Kluyveromyces lactis: one gene and its partners. The protein of the gene in region 4 purifies or fractionates together with the protein of the main gene of each other region. This does not show direct contact. Links are inferred from orthologs where the notes say so. Each region holds a gene or a part of one and is shown on either strand. Other genes may lie near its edges. The genes, in order: RCF2, MGE1, QCR8, COX4, COX12, COR1 and COX9.

What was found.
Region 1: the proteins of COX4 (region 4) and RCF2 purify together in Saccharomyces cerevisiae (affinity purification with mass spectrometry; 5 studies listed by BioGRID, with this or other methods). This does not show direct contact. The link is inferred for Kluyveromyces lactis from reciprocal best matches to the Saccharomyces cerevisiae genes COX4 and RCF2.
Region 2: the proteins of COX4 (region 4) and MGE1 purify together in Saccharomyces cerevisiae (affinity purification with western blotting; 3 studies listed by BioGRID, with this or other methods). This does not show direct contact. The link is inferred for Kluyveromyces lactis from reciprocal best matches to the Saccharomyces cerevisiae genes COX4 and MGE1.
Region 3: the proteins of COX4 (region 4) and QCR8 purify together in Saccharomyces cerevisiae (affinity purification with mass spectrometry; 5 studies listed by BioGRID, with this or other methods). This does not show direct contact. The link is inferred for Kluyveromyces lactis from reciprocal best matches to the Saccharomyces cerevisiae genes COX4 and QCR8.
Region 5: the proteins of COX4 (region 4) and COX12 purify together in Saccharomyces cerevisiae (affinity purification with mass spectrometry, with the first as the bait; 3 studies listed by BioGRID). This does not show direct contact. The link is inferred for Kluyveromyces lactis from reciprocal best matches to the Saccharomyces cerevisiae genes COX4 and COX12.
Region 6: the proteins of COX4 (region 4) and COR1 purify together in Saccharomyces cerevisiae (affinity purification with western blotting; 9 studies listed by BioGRID, with this or other methods). This does not show direct contact. The link is inferred for Kluyveromyces lactis from reciprocal best matches to the Saccharomyces cerevisiae genes COX4 and COR1.
Region 7: the proteins of COX4 (region 4) and COX9 purify together in Saccharomyces cerevisiae (affinity purification with mass spectrometry; 4 studies listed by BioGRID, with this or other methods). This does not show direct contact. The link is inferred for Kluyveromyces lactis from reciprocal best matches to the Saccharomyces cerevisiae genes COX4 and COX9.

The regions. Positions count from the first base shown.
Region 1 is NC_006042.1:573,921-576,314, forward strand, and holds RCF2 (Rcf2p), read right to left. Parts: upstream 1,167-2,394; coding exon 501-1,166; downstream 1-500. UniProt on the Saccharomyces cerevisiae protein: Assembly factor that plays a role in the assembly of the respiratory chain supercomplexes (SCs) composed of ubiquinol-cytochrome c oxidoreductase (cytochrome b-c1 complex, complex III, CIII) and cytochrome c oxidase (complex IV, CIV).
Region 2 is NC_006040.1:623,676-626,338, reverse strand, and holds MGE1 (mitochondrial nucleotide exchange factor MGE1), read right to left. Parts: upstream 1,233-2,663; coding exon 501-1,232; downstream 1-500. Other genes in the region: mitogen-activated protein kinase kinase MKK1, read right to left, coding at 1,590-2,663. UniProt on the Saccharomyces cerevisiae protein: Essential component of the PAM complex, a complex required for the translocation of transit peptide-containing proteins from the inner membrane into the mitochondrial matrix in an ATP-dependent manner.
Region 3 is NC_006037.1:609,774-611,839, reverse strand, and holds QCR8 (ubiquinol--cytochrome-c reductase subunit 8), read right to left. Parts: upstream 786-2,066; coding exon 501-785; downstream 1-500. Other genes in the region: ERG20 (bifunctional (2E,6E)-farnesyl diphosphate synthase/dimethylallyltranstransferase), read right to left, coding at 1,081-2,066. UniProt on the Saccharomyces cerevisiae protein: Component of the ubiquinol-cytochrome c oxidoreductase, a multisubunit transmembrane complex that is part of the mitochondrial electron transport chain which drives oxidative phosphorylation.
Region 4 is NC_006040.1:437,374-439,617, reverse strand, and holds COX4 (cytochrome c oxidase subunit IV), read right to left. Parts: upstream 966-2,244; coding exon 501-965; downstream 1-500. Other genes in the region: TPN1 (Tpn1p), read right to left, coding at 1,712-2,244. UniProt on the Saccharomyces cerevisiae protein: Component of the cytochrome c oxidase, the last enzyme in the mitochondrial electron transport chain which drives oxidative phosphorylation.
Region 5 is NC_006042.1:1,581,470-1,583,598, forward strand, and holds COX12 (cytochrome c oxidase subunit VIb), read left to right. Parts: upstream 1-1,380; coding exon 1,381-1,629; downstream 1,630-2,129. Other genes in the region: RIC1 (Ric1p), read left to right, coding at 1-642. UniProt on the Saccharomyces cerevisiae protein: Component of the cytochrome c oxidase, the last enzyme in the mitochondrial electron transport chain which drives oxidative phosphorylation.
Region 6 is NC_006041.1:507,736-510,995, reverse strand, and holds COR1 (ubiquinol--cytochrome-c reductase subunit COR1), read right to left. Parts: upstream 1,839-3,260; coding exon 501-1,838; downstream 1-500. UniProt on the Saccharomyces cerevisiae protein: Component of the ubiquinol-cytochrome c oxidoreductase, a multisubunit transmembrane complex that is part of the mitochondrial electron transport chain which drives oxidative phosphorylation.
Region 7 is NC_006038.1:298,877-300,925, forward strand, and holds COX9 (cytochrome c oxidase subunit VIIa), read right to left. Parts: upstream 684-2,049; coding exon 501-683; downstream 1-500. Other genes in the region: COX8 (cytochrome c oxidase subunit VIII), read left to right, coding at 1,714-1,935. UniProt on the Saccharomyces cerevisiae protein: Component of the cytochrome c oxidase, the last enzyme in the mitochondrial electron transport chain which drives oxidative phosphorylation.

The DNA of each region.
Region 1 (2,394 bases), on a different chromosome or scaffold from region 4:
GAAAAGATTACAAGCAATTTTGGTCCGCATTTTTGATAATTTATGAAGGTTCTTGATTGGTTCAAAAAAGTAGTGGTATAATGTTATGAAAGCCGTACCAGCCGTCTCTATTGAAAAAAAATTGAAATAAGCTGACATTAAAAAACAACCATAACAGGTAAGGCAGCACGCCCGCATTTTTGATCTCGTGGATGGTTGCGCCACGATGCAATGAAACTGTTACAATAATCAATGATAAAAAATAGATCTTCTTTTATTAACTTGTCATGACATAGAATAATGTGAGACAAAATAACTCACCATGAAAGGTAGATTTGGTACGTTAGATCTGCTTCATTTCATTTCGTACAAGGCAGTGCTGTAAAAAAAAAACAGTTAATAGTATATGGGTCAAAATTATTCACAAGAAGGATGTGATGAGGGTGAAAATAGAATTGTACGCCTTGTAGTGTGAAGGCAATATCGTATTTCACCTCAGCTAGATTGAATTCTTCAAAAATTCAATCATATTTAAAAATCTTGGCCTTAACTCTGTCTTCGTTACTTCTGTAACCAGCGGTTGCAGCCATCTCTTCTTCCTTCTCAGCATGCTCCAAAGCCGCTTGCCAACGACGGTCTCTAGCCTCCTTCTTTTGATCTGGATGTAGCTTTTCCTCGTACATAGATAAACCAATTGAGGCTAGTAACAAAATCACAGTTATACCTTGAGCATACATTCTTGCCTGCACAGCCTTTTGGGCTTTGGTCATGTATAAGTCCCTATCAACCAATTTCCAGGATCCATACAAGGAAGCAGCCCATGCACCAACAATGATCTTGTACTTATTGTTGGACAAACCTTCGACCAATTTTTCGCTCATAGGCAGGTTCTTCCATCTGTTATGTTCAGCAAGAATATCACTGGACGAAGAGTCACCATACATTTTCTTATCAAAACTGTTAGAAGATTCTTCAGCGACAATAGAAGCCAAAAGAGTTGGAGGCGTGATGAATAAAGCAGTCTTGACAGACCATGTCATAGCCTTTGGATTGAATTTAGGATAACGATGGGGTAAAAACCTGAACATAGCTGCAGAAATTAACAGACCTGCAGCTGCACCTTTAACACCACCCATCAGGGTGTAGTGACGATGAGCATCAATTTCTTCTCTTGTTAAAATCTTCATCTTGCTGTGCTGGTTTTTTCGTCTTTCAGTTACTTATCTCTTAAGCTAACTTTTGATTCCCTTAGTTTAAATAAGGTGATAAATATCGAATTAATACTGGAACAAAATCCTAATATATCCCGATATTTATTTTAGCCAAGAGGATAAGCATTAACAAATTTTAACTGTCAAACGATATATATATATATAATTTGAAATGATTCTGTAAACGAATAAACCGAGAGAATGCTCTTCCTTATATACGATACTTTTAAATTCCCTCCCTGCCTTTGTTCCAATTATACTTTAATTTTGGTTCGATTTTACTTTTTTACTTTTTTCCTTCCCGTATGATAAATATTCTTTGTTCCTTTATTTCTTTTTCCTGCAATATCGTATACGATTTAGGATTTATGATTGTCCATGAGGCACTGCTACTGATGTTACGTAATTTTGGCAGTTAGCCAAACCCTATATCTCTCGTTCTTGTTGCCAGCCCATGAACAGGCTCAGCGTAACCTGTTCATTGCTATCAACGTATCAATGAACCATTCGATTGAAATTTCTTCCAAAGGTCAGACAAGTTTTTGTCTGAAAATAACTCCGTCAATTAGAAAGTGACTATGTTCATTACACTGATGTTCAAAATCAATCCATACTTTAGCGAAGCTAATACCTAAGTGGGACCAGCCGAACGAACTGTCCTACTCAGAAGGATTTGCGCGTGCATACGGAGATAGTGGTTTTAGTAGTTGTTACCTGAGAAGAAGCCGGTCGGAATTTGCCACGGTTGTGGCTCCACATTTCCTTGACACAAAGTTTCCTGTGATATGATTGGTCAGTCACACATGTTTAAAAAAAAAGGAAGAGCAGAGAATATGCATCGACTAACCCTAACAGCTGGAACCTACCAGATTCATCCAATAGAGTTACAGGATCTTCGAAAAGCTTCAGTTTTGGACCTAAGGCATCGGATCGTTCGGATAATATCCATTGCAATTAGTGCAGTGTTGCGTTCATTAGCCTGACCTTTTAATACAAGGGAGAGTGATTACCATTTTGAGAAATCGCCGAAATACTATTTTTCAGGTTTCTACTCTTAAGAAAAAGAGCTTAATATGTGGAAAGCCTTTGCTTTGAATATGGCCAGCAGAGTTTTGTACATCACTCTGTTTTGACGTAACCGATATGTATACTAGCTTGAGTCTCTACTGAAATACTTGTAAAATGAACGCATATTAGACTATTG
Region 2 (2,663 bases), about 190 kb from region 4:
GAGGATTTGAGGGCTCATATAGATACCGTTTTGGGTGGAGTGGCTGATGGAAGATTGAGTTCAGAGTATACTAAAGATGTAGAGCCTGCAGGGGTTGGATGTTCTTACTTATGCGTTTCGTTCATGCTCTCGGACGTACCTTAACGGATGACAGACCGTTTTAATAAGAGAAAGAAAGGTCCTTTCATTTTGGATCATGGTAGAGAATTCATATACATATGTGCAAGTTTATTTACATGGGAATTAAGTAGGGTCATTGTGGCGAGACCATTATGACCGTTATGAGGGAACATAAAAGTCAAACCTGCTGCGAACAAAAAGAGATGTTTTCCGTTCAAAAGCTGATCGATGTTATCATGCAGAATGAAAGAAAAATGGAGTGAGGAGGGGAAAAAAAGTTAGAAGGTTCATAAAACAAGCATTATCGTAAATTATAAGTCATGGTAAGGTCATTTGAAGTAGATCGATTTTGGGTTCGGGGTTCTTTATTGAGAGATTTTCTAATTTTCATTGTCCTTAACAATACCGACCTTAGCTGGTCTGATAACTCTGTCGTTCAAAGTGTAACCAATTTGTTGAACGTGGAAAACGGTACCTGGTTCCTTGTCTGGTTGAGGCAATTCGAAAGTAGCTTCGTGCTTATTTGGATCAAAAGATTCGCCAATTGGATTTAGTTGTTCAATACCGTGCTTCTTCAAAGTCTTTTCGAAAACGTCCCTGGTCATCTTGACACCGGTATATAGATCAGAAAGCTCTTGAGATTGTTCCAGAGTTTCTGGTTTGAAAGCGTTCAAAGCATGGCCAAAGTTGTCGACGGATTCCAACAAGTCCTTGGCGAATTTTTGCAAAGCGAAATCCTTGGCCTTTTGGATATCCTTCTTGGTAACTTCTTGCAAATTTCTGAAATCAGCAACTGATCTCAACAAACGGTCCTTAAATTCAGAGGCTTCCTTAGTCTTGGCATCCAACTTGGTTTCCAAATCTTTAATCTTTTTTTGCTCTTCAGTCAAATTTGCGTCTTCTTCAGCTGCAGCTGCATCGTTCTCATCCTTAGGTTCTTCCTTCTTGGCTTCATCAGCATAGAATCTAACACCGGAAAACCTAGCAGAAAACTGGTTGGAGGTTGCAGCACTAGATCTCAAAGTGCTAGATACAAATGGCACAGTAGTAGATCTGAAACCGATTGGAACAGTTCTGGTAACGCTTCTCAAGAATCTGGTTGATGGTCTCATATTTTATTGTATTCTGTTAGTAAATATTCTCTGGTCGACTTGAGTCTCACTATTAACAGTGGTTATTTAGCAAAACAAAGTGAGTTCAAATCCAACTGAGTGTCAATAAGAGGTAGTGACAGTTGGTATGTAAGATGTATTGGGTTGTTTTACTAATTCTTTCTTCTTAAATGTCTTCTTATATACGGTTCTTTCTCTCTTTCATGATCATTTTTTCAATTCAAACCAAACTCTATGAAAAAATTGAAACTTGATCCGATTTATGTTGTGGAACACGTGACATGCAGCCATTTGAGAAATGATTTATCTATACATGTTCCTGCATGTTCTATCTAGTGGGCCAGTAGGGGCTAGCAATCAATCCGCCCAACAAGTTTGAATAAACTTCTTCATGTTAACGTGTTTCTTGGTTTGTCCCACCATCCAGGGGTGTTGTAGCATTTGTCTTGGAGATGGTCTATCCTTTGAATCTTTTTTCAGACTGTAATCAAGGAACGATTTGAAGGATTTGGACCATACTATGCCTTGTTCTGGTTCATCTTTCAATTCAGGTGTGAAAGTCAAGATAAGCATCAAAAGTTCTATAGGGGGCATGTTTGCTGCTAGTTTATCCGTATCAAATGGTGAGTGTCCCTGTGCAACTTCCAATAGTGTGAGACCCAAAGACCATACATCACTGGTAACACTGTATGGCTGGCCCTGTATCCTTTCTGGAGCCATGTAGTATGATGTTCCTGTAAACGTGGTGGCAAGAGAGTTCACTGCCTCTCCACTGACTCCAAAATCGCAGAGCTTTATTTGTCCTATTTCGTTGAACAATATGTTCTGTGGCTTAATATCTCTATGAATGATCTTTCTTTCGTGTAGATAAAATAGTCCTCTAAGTACGCTCTCAGCTATCTTCCCCAGAACCTTCTCACCAATTCGTCCCCCCTTAGAGAGAAGGTGCTTGTACACCGAATCTAGCGATCTTCCGCCCATATATTCCATCGCAATAAAAATTGTCGAGGTTTCTTCGCATGCAAACATCCCGTAATACCTCACTATGAAATCAGACTTACAACTCTTGTTGAATTGCAATTCTCTGAATATTTGTTTCTCTGAGCCATCATTCTCTATCGTGGCAATGGTCTTCAATGCAAATATTTTTGAACCGTTCCTTAACTTACATTTCGTGACCGATCCTCCAGTTCCTTCGCCCAATATTCCCAACGTATCAATTTGTTCATGGATCTTGTAAGTTTGCCATATATCTGACTCAAGTTCATCTGTGCTATCATCTCTATCGTGCTCTATAATTTCACTTTCTTTCCCATGGTTTACCAGGCTTGTGCTGCTGCTTGTTGTTGGTTCGCTATCGTACATGGATATTAGATTGGAAGTCATCGAATCTGCACTTTGGGTTGACTGCTGTGATCCAGACGTTGGCAG
Region 3 (2,066 bases), on a different chromosome or scaffold from region 4:
GAAAGTAATAACGTCACGTGACTTTCATTAGTGGAGAAACTTATCCATCTATATATATATATACATGTAAAACAGGCAAGCACACCGATCGTCGACATATGAGCACGACGATCACGCCCTTGACACGCAGATGTAAGTATTCATAATAAAGTAGTTTTTCAAATTCGTATAAACAGTGAAGTATAGAAGATATATTTGAGGGGAGTAACCACTTGATGAAAACCTCCAATAAATACGGTACTGAGCCAAACCCGAAAAGAGAGAATTAAAAACCGAGGATGTGAACTTCCACTCGCTCTCTCCTTTTCAATAGTATCTAATAATACTGAAACTCTTTTCGATGGCCTGACATGATAAAAAATGTTCTTGTGACGTGAGAAATATATCTTGAATGTTGATAAAAGTGTCAAAAGGGTGCTGCCGCACCTCTTTTTCCATGTAAGCTTTTAAACCTGGACAGAAGAAAGAAAGGAACTAGTCTAGTGTTGTAATAACATTGTTTAAACGTTAACTCTTTCTAATTCTTCTCTACCGGCCTTAGTGTACAAGTAAGCGTTGTAGTCTCTGCAGTTGACCCACCAAGCCCAGTACAAAGCAGCTGGAAGAGCCATGTACAAAATTTGGCTCTTAACTCTTCTAAATGTGTTAAAAACAGCGTTGTGGAAGATGTTGTTCAATGGCTTTTGAGCATATGGAGAAACAGTGTATGTAGTAATACCCTTTTGGGCTGGGGAACCTATACTACCCCACCAGCCCATGTAAGCCTTAGCATGTGGACCACCCATTTCGTCTTAATATTTTAATTCTTGGTCTTGCGGATACTGAGTCAGAGACTAAACTATGTATAATAGTTTTCCATCTTTGCATCATTTGAATATCTGAATAAGTAGAGGTTTAAAGCTTATTTCTTATATATAAAGCTTTTTCCCTCGCTGGAAGATTTTCAAGACTTCGTCTTTTAGAAGCGAAAAGGCCGAAACGTAGTATTATTGGTTCGTATACAGTGATACTGGTAGTGAAACTTACTTTTATTTATTTAGTTGCACGTGATCTAAAATGGTTAGATAATATATGCTTTACCTACTTCTTTCTGTGGTATATTTTGTTCAAGAACAAGGTTAGAACTTCGGCCTTGAACCCACGGGATTCGTCGATGTTAGCGATTTTCTCTCTTAAGTTGGAAGCGGTTTCTTCTTCGTACTTGTGGTAGATGTCTTGGATGTTCAATTCGTTGAATACAGCTCTACATTTTTGTTCCTTTTCAGAATCCTTTCTACCGTAGTTTTCGTCCAAGATATCTCTTTGTTCTTTTGTAGCATTCTTCAATGCAACGTTGATGACCCAAGAACATTTGTTGTCTTGGATATCGGTACCAATCTTACCGATATCTTCTGGTTTACCGAAACAATCCAAGAAATCGTCTTGGATTTGGAAATATTCTCCCAATGGGATCAATACGTCGCTGGCCTGTTTCAAGTCCTTTGAGTCGGTAATACCGGCAGCAAACATGGCCAGTGCCACTGCTAAGTAGAAAGAGTAGTATGCAGTCTTGAAGATAACGATGAAGGAATGCTTTTCCAAAGAGAACTTGGATAAGTCGACTTTGTCCTCTGGTGCAGTGATCAAATCCAACAACTGACCCAATTCGGTTTGAAAAGTAACGTCATGGAACAATTCCAATAGATCGACGTAGTATGGCTCTGTTCTGAAGTGTTTCTTCAACAGACAGTAGATGGCACCTTCCAACATGAATGCATCGTTGATCGCAATGTCGCCGACGTTTTCCACTTTGTACCAACATGGTTGTCCTCTTCTTGTGATCGATTGGTCCATCATGTCATCAGCAACCAAGAAGTACGCTTGCAACAGTTCAATACACCAACCAAGGATGGCAACCTTCTTGTACTCTTCTGCAGATAGTTCGCTCACTGACTTGTAACCTTTCAAAAGCGCGTATGTGTCAACGACAGAAAGACCACGGTTCAACTTACCACCTGGGGTGTTGTAGTTCAATGATTTTTCGTACCATTCGATGGCTTCTTCGGGCATACCGTACCCGGCCAAGA
Region 4 (2,244 bases):
TGTATCGGTAATTGTCATACTGACCCTCGGTGTCACCTTGAAACAAAGACTTTTTTTTTTGAAATTTTATTGATAAAATCGTACTTAATTTAAATAATGAGTTCTTACCTGTGAAATGTAGTATGTAGAGAAACAATGTGTAACATAAGTCTTTAATTGGTTTAAACGATCCGGGGGGGGAAAGAAATAGAGGCAATTGGTATAAAATATGAATCAATCATTCTTTTAAAATTCAATAGATCTGGCCTGTTCCCCGCTTTCCAAACATATAAACAAATCTTGATTATGTGCAGGACCAGTTCAAGTATATGTCCCCACTAAACTTTTTGTGTAATTTGTTGCTTCAGCTTGTGTAATTTATTATTTTGTAATATTTTAGAATAGGTTTGTGTATTTGACATTTGTATTGGAATTTTTAGAATGATATAGTGGTACACTGGTTGTTAATCCTTTTTTTACCAGGATAAGTGGGAATGATATGGAAGGAAGGATTAAAATGCTTAATGGTGACCTTCTTGAGGAACACCGACCATCTTAAGCTTGTATACACAACCGGTTTCCCAACATCTGGCGACTTGACCGTCGGTTGGCTTCAACCACATGACGTTGTGAGAACCAGCTGGGGAACCAGTGGCACCGACATAACGGTAGTCATCGTAGGATTCAACAATGATTGGGTTTTCCATGGTACCGATTCTGGAAGAGTCCAATGGCTTGGTGTCGAAAACTTCGATACCTTCCAATTTACCCAACAATTCCAATCTGGCTAAACCAGTGGCTTGGTCCAATTCGGTTGGAACTTCACCGTCTTTGGCACCAGGACCAATCAAAGTGTCAGCACCGTTAACTTCAGCCAACTTGGTAGCAGTCTTAACAACTTGTTGATCACCTGCAACCTTGGTGGTAGCAAAAGCTCTGGATGCTGGGCCGAACAACTTCGATAGGGATTGACGTAGAGACAACATTATTTCTTCTTTGTGATTGGATTGATAGGTGATAACTTAGATACTCCGATGTGTGAATCTAAAACGATGGAACAAAGGTATATTTGAATTGTAATGAACTAATCAATTAGCAATATATGACAAAAAGAACCACTTGGATACTGTAAGCTAGCTGAGACAGATAAGGTGATCAGTTGAATATATTCGCAAATGAAAGTAATCGGCGAAAGAAAACCCTCTGAAACAAACGTATGACTCTCTTGAACAAACTTGATAAAACGTCTTTAGCTACTTTCTAAAACTCTGAAATCACTGTTGAAAATATTATTCATATATATACATTCGGTTCCAATATCCTGCGAAAATCAAGAAATGAAAATTATCGCTTATAACAAAAAACGTACAAAAATCACATCATGTTTCCCAGTATGATTGGAGCAGGGAGAAGAAGGAAAGATACAAAAAAGGTGTCTACTCGTACATAGTGATGTACACATTTTTTAGCTGGAGTAGTCTTTCGTATTTGTTTCTATTTTGTTTCCGGCGAGAGTAGGATCTAGTGTGGGTGTTGTCAATTGAGTGAGAATTCTGCGATATGGTTGGCTAGAGGTCATGTGATTTATATAGGCAATGCCATGCCATTAATATTAAAGAGATTATTCATTTGATCTGGCGCGCGTCGCGTGACAGGTTATATACATATATGTGTGTACATATATGTGTGTTTCTATTATATGTGTATAATGTCAGATAATGGGGAAAATGGTTCACCTGCCAAATTTCTTCAGTTCGCAGTACCTTAGTGGTGGATATGATACTCCTGCGAAACCCATACCGAGCCACATACCTAAATCTCCGCCATACTCGCCAATCTTTGCGGCAAGTGGCCCCACGTAATACGTTTGACACATTCCAAGTACCACACCAGCAACACCGATGCAGAACGCAGCGGATGCAGCCAATCCTCTTGTGATGACTTCAGAGTTGTCCCATTCATCCCAGTTGTACCTGTGGATGTGCCTTGGTAATTTCCTTAGTTTATGATGTGGTTTCACTTCTATGTCATTGGGGAATTCCAATTTATATAGATGGTGGAACCAGTTTCTAAAGATGACGTTCTCTTCCACGAGTAAGATGAAGTACATGCTAATCCAGTAACCAATCATAGGTAGGAAATTTCCCAAGATGGTGGAAAAACTGTTTCTACCTACTAGCGCACATACGAGGTAAAAGATGGTACATCCGATAGCCCAGATCCAACGAGGCACCTTGGCTAACATCACACTTGATAATTGGATGG
Region 5 (2,129 bases), on a different chromosome or scaffold from region 4:
GAAAAAATTCTATCCAGTAAAGTATTGGAACATGAGGACTTGAACTCCATATTATCATTAATCGATACCTATGATAAAAATTCAGGCGGGATTAAGAATGAAGTTGGTAAACTTGAAATCGTAGGGAATTGTTTAAGAAAGATCGAAACAAAACATTGGGACTACTTATTTGAGAATCTAAAACTAACTCCAAGAGATCTTATCACCAAGTGCATTGCTCTATCTGAAGCGAAGATCTTGGGTACGCTTTTGATGGTATTCTTAAACTATGACGAGGGCGATAGTGAATCTAAACAGGAAGAGGTCACGACAAAGTCCACAAAACGAAAGAACAAGAACAACAAGAACAAGAACAACAAAAACAAGAACAAGAACAAGAACAAGGAAAAGAGCCATACAAACGGACTCAAGGAATCTGATAGTAGAGAGACTTCTCCAGATACTAGTGTATCCACCATCCTAAAAGACGAAACAGTCATAGGTCAAGTCCTCAAGATATTCGTATCCACTGCCACTCTTTCAACTACAAAAGAGCAAGCACAAGAGTATTGGGATTTCGCTCTACAACTAATTCGATTCTTAAGAGCACTAGACAGTAAGGGAAATACTACACTAGCACAGACTTGTCTGGACATGATCTAATTAATACTGGGAAATACCTTTTTTCTAACCGCACTTGTCACGTGATACTCGGCCAATCACAAGGACTGCATCGTCAAAGACGATTACATTCAAACCCCATATAAAATATGTATGCTCACACTATTCAAATCAAACATCTCGTGCCATAATAAGAAGATGATGCGTTTTCTTGCTGAATGGAAAAGTGTTACCATCATATACTGCGATTTTTTCGCAATTAACCAGGTATTTTACAGTTACGCTTTTAATTGAACGAAGCATATGTACTCCTTTCTCTGGTACTACACAGCTGTATACTAGGGTAGATGTAATATTCAATTGACCCCTTTTACGCTGGATATATACTAGTAATATTACTATTAAAGTCTATGTCTGCGGAGTATCTGTTTGTGCTACCTCTTCTTAATGTTACGATATTTCATCTTTTTTTTTTTTTTCATTCCTAATGAAATTTTCGAATGATATTTTCATAGTTTTTCTTGAAGCCGAAAAAAAGATTTTGATTATTCTAACTTTCTATTTAGTTTAACTGATTAGTTTTTAGAATTAAAATAAAGAAGTTTAAGAACTATTCTTTTCAATTCTTGTTGTTATTTTTGTTTTGAGTTTTAGTTTTAGATTAGTTTGAGATTTGTTTGTTCATTCTTATTCAAAGATATTTTAGTTTTGTATTGATTTTGTTCAGGTTAATTAAGATCACTCTTTGTTCAAACATCATCACCGATAAACCCTATTACAATGGCTGAAAATCAAGAATCTCCATTACACACCGTTGGTTTCGACGCTAGATTCCCAAACCAAAACCAAACAAAGCACTGCTGGCAATCGTACGTGGATTACCACAAGTGTATCAATGCTAAGGGTGAAGACTTCGCTCCATGCAAGGTTTTCTGGAAGACCTACTCCTCTCTATGTCCAGTTGACTGGGTTGAAAAGTGGGATGAACAAAGATCCCAGGGTATCTTTGCTGGTGACATTAACCCATAAACTGGTTGGAAATATGTGATATAATGCGATGAAAAAAGAGGCAGTTAATTAGTGAAGAACTAGTTTAGGAAAACTAAAAACAAAAAAAGATGATATTCATTTGGAGCAAGATGTGACAACAGATACTGAAATTATCTGTTATGATTCGTACTTAACGTATCTTCCTCTTTTATTATTTTCATTCACTTTCCTCGAACAATGGCTTCACTGTTTTCTGTCCCATCGATTTTTCATTCATTTTCTTTTTAAAACAATATATTTATTATCCCATTCACATCCGTCCTCCGTTTCCCCTTTCGATGTTATTGTCACTTTGTAACGTTTTCCACTCAATATAAGTTTCAGCGTCTTGGATCATCATTCCAGACCTTAGTGTGGAAATTAAGTAACATTGATGGAGATCCGGAAATCCCAGTACAAGTTTCACTTTTATTAAAACAATACTCTCATAAAAAAAATTTACAAAGAAAGATCAATTTAGAACACAGTTTAAACTTTGT
Region 6 (3,260 bases), on a different chromosome or scaffold from region 4:
TCTTGATGGTTAAAATGTATTCAATTGCTCACCAGTAAATGACAGTATCATAAATAAGGACATTGAACTCATATTTTTGTTTCGACGAATAATGAGCGAGATTTTGATTTATTTCGATTTAGCCTAAATTTTCAAATATCATTTGGAATTAAAAAATACATTATGTTCATTAAATGTATTGATCTTGAGGAGCTGTGACAGAGCGAAAAATCGAATGCGCCAGTAAACACCCTAGACTTTAGTCCAAAACAGTAAAATATTGATATAAATCGATCGTGACAAATTTCTTTTTTTGGGGGAATATACACACATGAAATTAAACTGTAACTTATTACTCATCGAGTGATATGGTTATAACAACTCAAAAGTAAATGTTACAGGGAGTAATTCTACTCAGTCGAGTAGAAAAGAGAGAATTGTTTTTAGAATGACCGTCGTGAAATGAGAATATAATATAAAAAGAATTGTTAAAATATCTTAAGACTCGGCTTTTAGTTTGATTACCATCTCATCATACTCATGTCGTTTCTCATTCTGACGTAGTCCAACAAGTCTTCAATCTTACCAGTACCGGCAACAGCGATATCTTGATCCCATAATCTTTCGGAAGCCCAAGCCTTAATATCCTTGGAGGTAATTTTGTCAATCTTAGTGAAGACTTCAGCCAAGGCTGGCTTAGCACCCAAAACCAAGGTTTGAGCACCCAACAAGTTAGCAGCAGCAGCGTTGGTAGAAACTTGAGAAGCCAACTTCAACTTTAACAAAGACTTAGCACGAGCGACTTCAGTTTCGGTGACAGAGATGGACAATCTGTTCCATTGCTTCAAAGTGAAATGGACAGTTTCATCGATGTTGTGTGGGTCGGTGATGGTGGTTCTGAAACCCCACAAACCGGAGTCCTTATAAGAGACAGAGAAGTGTTCGAAAGAGTCACACAAGTGGTATTCGTTAACTTCGTCGATCAACTTAACACCTTGTAGGTTGGAAGCTGGTTCAGCAGCAACGAAAGTACCGAAGACTTCAGCAGCGACTTGAGCAACATAGTATTGTGGAGAATTGATAGGTTCACCTTCAGCAGCGATAGATACCCAAGCCTTTGGTAGAGTATCATCTCTTAGTCTGACTTCAGAACCCAAGAAAGTGGACTTCTTCTTTGGCACTGGTTTGTCACCAGATAGCAAAGAAAGCTTAGTTTCAACAGCCTTGACCAATTCATCGTGGTTAACGTTACCGGTACCAACAATAACAGAGTTGTTTGCCTTGAATTGGTTTTGAACGAAGTTGGACAAGTCGATGTTTTCCAAACCTTCTAGAGTTTCGACAGTACCTCTGACTGGCAAAGACAATGGAGTGTTTTGGAAAGCAGTGGCGTGCAAGTGTTCGAAAACACGTTGTTCGTGTTCAGTTTCTTCGAACTTGGCAACAGTGTCTACAGTAGCTCTCTTGGAACTTTCGAAGACGGAGTCCTCAATTGGAGCGAAAAGCTTGGATTGCAAGAATTCTAGAGCCTTAGCATATTGACCTGGTTGAGAGTTAACAATGTAAGATTGGTGGTCTCTGCCAACCTTGGTTTCTAAGGAGAATCCCAATTTTTGAGCATCCTTGATAGAAGAGTTGACAAAGGAGTTAGCCAACAAGTTGGAAACACCGTTGTTGTATGGGTTTTCGGCAGTAGTACCGGAACCGAACACCAAACCGACCGCAGCAGTGGCAGAGTTGCTGTTTGGTTCAGTAGCAACAACAACACCGTTAGATAGTTCGGTGACGATGGCTTTTGGGGTAATTTGAGTGGCAATGGTTCTCTTCAAGATTGAAGATCTAGTAGCGGTTCTCAACATCTTTCTTATGGCAAATAATTGGTTATAATCCGTTTAATCAATATAGTGTGTTGAATTTGTACGTGCAAAATAAATAGAATACGGGATCAAAAACAAGTCAATGAGCTCCCAAATGTAATACCTTCGAAGTTATAATTCTCGTTTACTTTTTTCCTTGGAAACCTTTCTGTTGGTATACTATCGATTCAAAAAACAGTATAGTGGTATTTCACTGAAAAAAATATAAAGCAAAGTTTGGATAGTTTTTAGCCTAACTGAATTCTCAATTTCCTTAAAATTGTGCACACTTGACTGAAGCAATATACAAGAGTAGAAAACTATAAACAGGTCTAAATAAAGTTAGTGTACTTTCATTAAACAAATATCAATGATTTATCTAACTACTTTTAATTTTTTTTTAATTTTGGAAGGTTACACTATATGAAAAAAGTGAAAAATGTTGATACTGAGAGCGCTGTCTAGTTTTTCGATATTTCCATAATTTTTTTTTTTTACCTCTTCTTCTTTGTCTTCTCTGTAGCATAGAGATTTTCTTTCATTGGACAACGACCTGTCCACATAATTAATAGGGGACCCCCTTTGAACAATTATTAAAATCGTTTCTGGCCGAGAAACTGGTCCGAAAAACAAAAATTTACATAGTAGCGAGTACTTTTCGGGACGAGAATTTAGCCCCAAAACTGCTAATTCCATCTGCTCGAACATTTCCAATCAAATCGACATTTTTGGGATTGCATATCCCTCTTTCTCGCTCATCTCGCAGTTACGGAAGTATCGGTACCAGCATTTCTTTTCCCATAATAAACAGTGGAAATGCTCGATTTCCTATGGTAAGCGGTAAACTTTGAATGAAAAATGAACCGTGAAATACGATGCCCGAACTGGATTTCCATTGGTTCGTCAAAGATGATCAAATACCGAGATTGAAATTCGACTCACGTGAATAAAATTACACTTACCCGCACAATAGAAAGATTCGGGTAAGTACCAAAGTCCAAATGAGTACTTTTTTTTTTTTTGATTACTTGCTTGCTTGCTGGTGGTTTGTGCGTACAGTGTAAGTGTTCGATTCTCGCCTTGAAAACACCGCAACGAATATCCATTCGGATTTACTCTTCGGAAATAAAATCATCATTTCATTCGCCAACTATCCCTGCATGTATTTACGACTTCTTCAAGCAAGGTTTCTAAGAAATTTAGAAGGGAGCTTATTCCCGCAAAGCAAAATGCGCTGAAAAATGGTCGGTCCATCAGGATCCAAATATCTTAACTCCCATGTAATCCCCGTCCGGAACGGTTGTTGTTCTTGCCGCCAGTTTTGAAAGAATGCCTCCCGTATTATTTCAGTTTTCTTTTGACATGGATTCTTGGGTTAACAGCCGTGGTAAAATAGCTCCGCGGGATCTATTTTATTACATGGAA
Region 7 (2,049 bases), on a different chromosome or scaffold from region 4:
ACTTCCAGCGATAAGGTAACAAACCAGAGAGTATTCCTATTTGCAAAATAAGATTGTTTAACAGAGACAATCACCTTCTTTGGAAATCGACAAAAGGTCACATGAAATCCTTAAGTCTTTGTTTAGTAACTCCTCCAAGAAAAAACAAACAGTCGAGATGCGGTATTGCTTCCACTCATGAATAATAATACTGATAGGAGAAGAAGTCATAATATGAGAACGTATTAGCATGATAAAAGGGTACCGAATAAAAAAAAATACCATTAATGATTTTTAACCAATAATTCATCAGAATGACTGTTAATCTGTGTATGTGTTGACATAAATAGAGAAATAAAAGGTTGTGGGATGTTATAGTAACGATAGGTAATTGGGAGGAAAAAAAGGATCGAATACAATTCTCCGTATTATGGACACAGAGGTTTCAAACCTCATGGCCGCACACGAATATGTTGATTTAGATAGAAAAACACAAAGTATTGCGTTTTTTTATTCAGTCCTTAGTTTTCAGCAGCCTTTTGTTCAGCCAACTTAGCGTAGTAAGCTTCTCTCTTGTTGATGATGTTCTTGTGGAAACCCCACCACCAATAGGAAGCCATAGCACCACCAATAGCGAAACCGATGGTGATATCGGCCAAGATTCTCTTTCTAATAGTACCAGTGATTGGAGCAATTGCAGACATTATTCTTTGATGTGAAGTGAGAGTGATTGATGTGAGATGAACAAACCGTTAAGGATAGCAACAGCTAATGAAAAAGGCTAAAGTCAACACTAAGAGGGGACAGAGGAAAGATATACAAAGTACTAATCAAATATCAAAATTTCAAGAAGTAAAAGAAAATCAGAAAAACCATACGACTAAAGTAAAGAACCGAAGACAGTTAGAAAAAAAATTAACCAAAACCTGTAATGGATAGTAGAGCCAGGTAAGTTTATTTCAATTTTTTTTAATTTTTAAAGTTTCTCGATTTTTCAAGCTGTCACCAAGAGGGAATTGACATTCAGAACTCCAGTAATACCGAGTCATACTGTAGTGTGGATTTTCAAGACAATATCTGATTGAGACTCTCAGTAGGTTCCGGTAGAACCTACTATCGGTTGCCCATCAATATAGCCAAGAGAGAGGTATCGCTTTTCTTCCTCTAATACTGACAGCACCGGATTGGCAAAGAGGGAAGATTTCCCGTCAGAGAAACTCTGGGGCAGCCATTGATCGCAGGTCATGTGCCTCTTATCATCTTAGTGTAGTTAGTACAAGTAGACAAGAAAGGATCTCGCGTTAAAACCGAAATTCCCATTAGCCAATGATATCCCAGGATTCGACGTGAGTGTGTCTGTATTCAGAAAAATATGTACACGGGGAAATCACGTTCCACGAAGACACAGCAGAGCTTTGCTTTAAGAGTGAAAGTCGGAAATCTTACACCATTACCCGGATACTCCGTTTGTGTCTCACTACTTTCTGAGCCGTTTTCCCACTTCTGTCAATTTTTTTTGTTATTGCACGACTTTTTCCTAATCCTGTTTCTCTTCTTAGCAGCGATAGAAAGGTAAAAAAAATATATCGTATTATTTTTTTTTTCATATTTCAATACAATTAGCACTGCAATTTACAACTCTTGTTAAGGATGGTTTATAGTTTATTGTTGATATTAATAACTTTGTTTCGATAACCTAGCGTCCAATACCACAGCAAATATTCCAATCAAAACATGTTTTCCCAAGTTACCAGACTAGCCACCAGAAGAGCCTTCTCTGCCACTTCCAAGCAATGTGGTGCCCACTTCAAGGAAGGTGTTTACTCGAACATCCCAGTTAAGATTCACAACAGAAAGATCCCATACGCTTTCATCCACTTCGGTTTCTTTGCTCTAGGTTTTGCTGTTCCATTCATCTCTTCTTACGTGCAATTGAAGAAGTTTGGTGCTTTCTAAATGAGTGGATAGAAATAAATTTCCTGCCCTCTTTGTTATATCGTATCCTTTCACAATAATTTTCGTTTTATTTTCATGTCATCATTGCTACACATTCCATCCATCTGCAAATGT